2 linked regions of the Macaca fascicularis genome follow. Each later gene encodes a partner of the first gene's protein in a complex. Links are inferred from orthologs where the notes say so. Each region holds a gene or a part of one and is shown in the gene's direction. Other genes may lie near its edges.

Region 1 (3,500 bases):
AAACTCGGGAGGCGGAGCTTGCAGTGAGCTGAGATCCGGCCACTGCACTCCAGCCTGGGTGACAGAGCAAGACTCCGTCTCAAAAAAAAAAAAAAAAAAAAAAAATATTCTATGTTGTCTTCTTCCAGGAACCTTCACATTCATTCAGACTTTGTAGTTTCCACATTTATTTGTCCAGTTGATACAGCATTTGAGATAGTTTTACTGTTGAAAATTATGAGGACATTTGCCCTCCAACTATGATTGTATATTCCATGATAATAATTTTGTTTCTTTTATACCCTATCAGCAAAGACTGTTGGAATTGTAACGCCCAGAAAACCTGTCTTATCTGTCAGTGCAAGAAAAATTAAGGACAATGCGGCTGATTGGCATAATTTAATCCTGAAGTGGGAAACCCTCAGTGATGCAGGTTTTACCGCTGCAAATAATATTGCCAACTTGAAAATCAGTTTATTGTAAGTACATATTGGTTTTTCATGCTCTAAGTTTTTCACCCTTAATAACTGGGGAAATATCAACATGAATAAATTTGAAAATAAAATATTAAGCAAAAAAAGCAAGTGGTAAGATGACACATGAGACAAAATTATATTCCTTTTTTTTTTTTTTTTTTTTTTTTGAGATGAAGTCTCACTCTGTTGCCCAGGCTGGAGTGCGATGGCGCAATCTTGGCTAACTGCAACCTCCACCACCTGGGTTCAAGTGATTCTCCTGCCTCAGCCTCTGGACTAGCTGGGATTACAGGCGCCTGTCACCACACCCGGCTAATTACTGTATTTTTAGTAGAGTCGGGGTTTCACCATGTTAGTCAGGATGGTCTCGAACTCCTGACCTCACATGATCCACCTTCCTCAGCCTCCCAAAGTGCTGGAATTACAAGTGTGAGCCACCACGCCTGGCTATTCTGATTTTTAAAACCATAGATTCTTTGATTCTTTTGTAGTTCATAGGCGTGATGATTGGGTTTTCATGCTCATGTATGACCTGTGCCTTCCTCAAACTTTGCTATGATGTTGACACAGTATGTAGCTGATATGGAAAAAACTACCATGGATTCTTTTTGTCCATTTTTTGATTTTACATAAACAAAAAACATATGTTAGTGTTTCCTTTATGTCTCGCTTTCTTTTTCTATTTTTATTTTTGGAGATGAGTCTCACTCTATCCCCCAGGCTGGAGTGCAATGGTACGATCTCAGCTCACTGCAACCTCTGCCTCCCAGGTTCAAGCAATTCTGCTGCATCAGCCTCCTGAGTAGCTGGAATTACAGGTGCCTGCCACCAAGCTCAGCTAATTTTTGTATTTTTTGTAGAGACCGAGTTTCACCATGTTGGCCAGGTTGGTCTCGAGCTCTTGACCTCAGGTGATCCGCCCACCTCAGCCTCCCTAAGTGCTGGGATTATAGGTGTAAGCCACTGCACCCAGCCATGTCTCACTGTCTTTCAACATGGAAGCCATCCATGTAATGTAGAGCCACTATTCTGGTTCTGTTCTTTCTCATTGCTGTTTAATAGTGTTTACCCACATTAGACCTCTCAAACTCTGCCACTGGTTTATCAACTAAGTTATGTAATGTTCTCAATCTTTTGTTGTCATTTCAGCAATGTGCACAGCATCTTTCCCAGGAATAGGTTCCATCTCAAGAAACCACCTTCTTTGCTCATCCATAAGAAACAACTCCTCGTCTGTTCAAGTTTTCTCATGAGATTGCAGCAATTCAGTCCCATCTTCAGACCCCACTTCTAGTTCTGCTTCTCTTGCTTTTTCCACTGGCAGAGTAGATTTAACATCATTCTTAAGGGCCCTAGGAGTTTGAGAATGGTAGATGAGCACTGGATTCAACTTAAAGTCACTAACTGCAATATCCCCTAACGAGAGGGTCAACCTGTCTCTTGAAGCTTTGAAGCCTGTCATTGACTTCTCTGTAGTTGTGAATGTCTTGGATGACATGTTCTTCTAATAGAAGGCTGTTTCATCTACATTGACAATCTGTCATATCGTGTAGCTACCTTCATCATTGATCTTAAGTAGATCCTCTGGATAACTTGCTCCAGCTTCTACATTAGTGCTTGCAGCTTCACCTTGCACTTTTATGTTATAGAGATGGCTTTTGTCCTTAAACCTCATGAACCAAATCCTGTTAGTCTCAAATTTTTCTTCTGTAACTTCCTCATGTCTCTCAGCCTTCACAGAATTGAAGAGAGTGAGGGTCCTGCTCCGGATTAGGCTTTGACTTAAGGGAATGCTGTGTCTGTTTTGCTCTTCTGTGCAGACCCCTCAAACTTTCTCCATATCCACGCTAAGGCTGTTTCACTCATCATTCACATGTTCACTGGAGTAGCACCTTTAATTTTCTTCAATAACTTCTCTTTTGCCTTCACAACTTGGCCAACTGTTTGACACAAGAGGCCTAGCTTTTGGCTTATCTTAGCCTTTTTTTTTTTTTTTTTGTACAGATGGAGTCTCGCTCTGTCGCTCAGGCTGGAGTGCAATGGTGCAATCTTGGCTCACTGCAACCTCCGCCTCCTGGGTTCAAGCAATTCTCCTGCCTCTGCCTCTCGAGTAGCTGGGACTACAGGTGCATGCTGCCACGCCCGGCTAATTTCTTTTGTATTTTAGTAGAAATGGGGTTTCACCATGTGGCCCAGGCTGGTCTTGAAATCCTGAGCTCAGGCAATCCACCCGCCTCGGCCTCCCAAAGTGCTAGGATTACAGGCGTGAGCCCCCGCACCTGGCTCCTTATCTCAGCTTTTGACATGCCTTCCTCACTAAGCTTGATCATTTCCAGCTTTTAATTTTTTTGTTTCTTAAATTGGCCAAAGTATAGCTTTTGATTTAAAATGAGAGATATGCAACTCTTCCTTTCACTTGTACATTTAGTGGCCAATGTAGGGCTATTAATTGGCTTGATTTCAATATCCTCCTATTTCAGGAAATAGGGAGGCCCAAGGAGATGGGGAGAAATGGGAGCAGCCAGTCAGTGGAGCAGTCAGAACACACAACATTCATTCATTAAGCTCGCTGTTACATGTGAACATGGTTCATGGCACCTCAAAACAATTAAACTAGTAATATCAAAGATTATCAATCAAAGATCGTAGATATAATAATGAAAAAGTTGGCCGGGCGCGGTGGCTCAAGCCTGTAATCCCAGCACTTTGGGAGGCCGAGGCGGGCGGATCACAAGGTCAGGAGATCGAGACCACAGTGAAACCCCGTCTCTACTAAAAATACAAAAAATTAGCCGGGCGCGGTGGCGGGCGCCTGTAGTCCCAGCTACTCAGGAGGCTGAGGCAGGAGAATGGCGGGAACCCGGGAGGCGGAGCTTGCAGTGAGCCGAGATTGCGCCACTGCACTGCAGCCTGGGCAACAGCGTGAGACTCCGTCTCAAAAAAAAAAAAAAAAAGAAAAAGTTTGAAGTATTGTAAGAATTACCAAAATATGATACAGAGACATGAAGTAAGCACATACTATTGGGAAAAATGGCGCTGGTTGAT
Region 2 (3,500 bases), about 150 Mb from region 1:
GGTGTTGGACTTAAGACAATAGAGAGAAGAGGAAGTAAATCAAGTCAACAGGGTAAATACAAGGAGCTGAAAAATGAAGAGGTATTTATTAGCCAGAATGCACCTAAAATCCAGGCCAACATTAAATAGAATGCATATATGCTATAGCTTTACTTACGCTGAATTCATATCGTAGAAGGATTTATTATAATTTCAGTTTGACTTTGTTAGGGCTTTTAGAGCTAATAAAAATTGTGATTTGGCTATAAAAGGTGAGGTACATCTTATAATAAGTTATCTTAAATATAAGAATGTAAATTTTATTTTTCCTAAGAATGAGAAATACAATTTTCTTATTGCTAATAGAGAAGGCAGTTTATTCTTGTTTCCGTGTCCTAAGAAACCAGTATTCATTTATTTCTAAAAATGTTTATGTAGGCTGGGCACAGTGGCACACCTCTGTTATCCCAGCACTTTGGAAGGCCAAGACAGAAGGATTGCTTGAGGCCAGGAGTTTGAGACTAGCCTGGCCAACATTGCAAGGCCCCATCTATGAATGAATGAATGAATGAATGAATGAATGAATGAATGACAAAGGATAATATTTCCAATAGTCTTAGTATGGAAAATTTCCAGTTTTCTTGAGAAATGGGTTTCTTTGGTTTTAATGAATTAAAATGGCCTTTGGAAGTCCCCTCCCTCTCTTTCTGAGTCTCTTCTCCAGAGTTTGGTATCCTTAAATTATCCCTGATACTTTTCTTTTCTTCCTCTCTTGTTGTCACTCATTTCCTATTTTTAAAATTGTTGCATGGGATTGTTGCATATACTCCTTAGGAACATGTCATACTAGAATTAGGAGGTACCCACGAGGTTATCTAATCAAATCATTCCATAATACAGGAATTCCTTCTGTAACATCTGACAGGTATTCACCCATCATCTGCTAAAATACTTGCAAACATAGGGAACTTAGTACTTTGAGGGATTACGTCACTGGAGAGTTGCCTGATTATTCAACAAATGATTTTGAATGCTTAGTATATGTAAAGCCTTTCTCTGTCTGCTTTTAGACATTTCTTTATCCAGGATTTGCATACCTGCAACTTAGATTGTCATTTCGCAGACAAATAAAAAGTCCAGTAAATCTTCGACTCTTTAGGGATATGAGAGTCAAGACTTTTCTGTAACCATATATCTCCACCTGTTGGTCATACATATCTGTCTTTTCAAATAGCCCGTTTAAGGTGTAAGCCTTCATTGGAGGCTCAGGTGCACTCAAGTCACCAGATGAGTGTTCTCCTCTTTGGGATAAGGCTTTTCATAAGTTTTCATACGGAGAATCTCTCTTAGGTACTCCCTTAGCCATGCACACAAAGTACTTCTTCGATTAATTATTCGTTTCTGGGATATCTTGATATCAAGAAGCTGGTCTGGAAAGGGGATATAAGCATTCTGGTCCCAAGAAAAGGATATCCCTATTTCAATTTAAATAGACCTTCTGATTTATAATTTTTTAAAAACTTACTAACAACTGATTGAAATTACTTTTTGTTGTGTTTGCCCTCAGAGTTTCAGGAAGTTTTTAACCGAAGTGTCATGATTGTTGCAGCAACAAATAGACCTGATGTGTTAGATACTGCTTTGTTACGACCTGGAAGATTAGATAAGATCATCTATATCCCACCTCCAGATCACAAGGTAATCATTGTAAACATTTACTGTGTGTGAGCTCAGCAGAATGGAATTCCAGTCTGGATATAGGTGTCCATGGTGTTCTACTCACTCTGGGTTCCACCTTCTTCCTTGCCTTCCTTCCTTCCTTTCATTGCATTATAATTTTGATCTGCCTTTGTTGGATACTCTGATCCTGTTCACAGAGAAACATAAGCCTAAATATAAGGTGGTTATTGTATGTGTTGTGGCAGACTCTAAATACGGAGTCAACTCAGCATTATTTTGCAGCTAGAGTAGAGGAATCGTAAAGTGTTAAAAGAGCTTTGAAGATTGAGTCAGCATCCTTATAGTACAGTGCAGAAGTCGGAAATCACAGAGATTATGATGTGTATCGTGGTCAACCAGTAAATTTGTTGTCCTTAAAGTACAGTGCAGAAACCTGAGATATCAGAGATTATGCAGTGTATCATGGTCAACCAGTACATTTTTTGTCGTTAACATCCAGAGCCACTGACAGGCAAGGTGAAAGGCACAGAGTGAATTTTTTTGTTCCTTGAGCTTTTATCAAGTTTTGAAGGGATAGAAAAATAAAATTTATTATCTGTTATACCTTTAAGTTATATCTGATAATTCATGTATTTGCTTCTTAAGCCATGTCTAATAGTATTATTTGTACCCAAAAGAGAGATTCAGCTGGGCGTGGTGGCTCACATCTATAATCCCACACTTTGGGAGGCCAAGATGGGCAGATCACCTGAGATCAGGAGTTCGAGACTAGCTTGGCCAACATGGTGAAACCCCGTCTCTACTAAAAATACAAAAATTAGCTGGGTGTGGTGGCAGGCTCCTGTAATCGCAGCTACTCGGGAGGCCAAGGCAGGAGAATCACTTGAACCCGGGAGGCAGAGGTTGTAGTGAGCCAAGATCGTGCCACTGCACTCCAGCCTGGGCGACAGAGCAAGACTCCATCTCAAAAAAAAGAGAGAGATTCATAAGTTTTTTATGATGTCATGATTTTTACCATTGTCATATGGGCCATTGATGACTTAGTCCTTCTAACCTCTGTATATACTTTCTCGGTAATGTGAAAGAAAACTCAAGCTAAAAATATTTTAATAAATCATTGTGTCAAACATAAATGTTATAAGATTTAAAATACTGTTTTTTATTTTGTTCCAGGGCAGGCTTTCTATTTTAGAAGTCTGTACAAAAAACATGCCAATAGGTCCTGATGTCTCCTTAGAAAACCTAGCAGCAGAAACCTGTTTTTTTTCTGGAGCTGATCTTAGAAACCTCTGCACAGAAGTAAGTTAATTAGTGAAGAAATTTGTGGTTCAAAACATTTCTTCATCTTTTCAAATCTTCATTCACTCAGCAGTATTTACTAAAAGCCTTTGTGGTACAGGCTTACGAAAAAAAGTTTTTCGTAAACTTTTACTAAATATAACATTCAGAAAAATGCACAGATCATAAGGGTACAGTTCATTGAATTAAATGATCACATTTTTATAATCACTACTTATGTCAGGGAATAGAACATTATCAACACCCCAGAATCTTCCTTTGGGTCCTTTCCCAACCTCTGTCACCTACCTTCTTCTGAAAGAGAACTATTGGCTGGGCTTAGTGACTCATGCCTGTAATCCCAGCACTTTGTTGGGGCCAAGGCAGGAGGATCATCTGAGCCCAGGAGTTGAGACCAGCCTGGGCAACATGGGGAGCCCCTGTCTCTATAAAAATTTTTTTTTAATTGTCCCGGCTACTCAGGAAGCTGAGGTGGGAGGATCACTTGAGCCTGGAGGTCAAGGCTGTAGTGAGCCATGATTATGTCACTGTACTTCTGCCTG

Evidence for each region.
Region 2: CINP (region 1) and AFG2B share a complex: the UniProt entries of both Homo sapiens proteins name them as parts of the 55LCC heterohexameric ATPase complex. The link is inferred for Macaca fascicularis from reciprocal best matches to the Homo sapiens genes CINP and AFG2B.

The regions. Positions count from the first base shown.
Region 1 is NC_088381.1:170,470,776-170,474,275, reverse strand, and holds part of CINP (cyclin-dependent kinase 2-interacting protein), read left to right. Parts: intron 1-287; exon of another isoform or gene 288-289; coding exon 290-458; intron 459-934; exon of another isoform or gene 935-1,038; intron 1,039-2,459; coding exon of another isoform or gene 2,460-2,581; intron 2,582-3,500. UniProt on the Homo sapiens protein: Component of the DNA replication complex, which interacts with two kinases, CDK2 and CDC7, thereby providing a functional and physical link between CDK2 and CDC7 during firing of the origins of replication.
Region 2 is NC_088381.1:21,930,022-21,933,521, forward strand, and holds part of AFG2B (ATPase family gene 2 protein homolog B), read left to right. Parts: coding exon 1-52; exon of another isoform or gene 53-81; intron 82-1,546; coding exon 1,547-1,677; intron 1,678-2,832; coding exon 2,833-2,958; intron 2,959-3,500. UniProt on the Homo sapiens protein: ATP-dependent chaperone part of the 55LCC heterohexameric ATPase complex which is chromatin-associated and promotes replisome proteostasis to maintain replication fork progression and genome stability.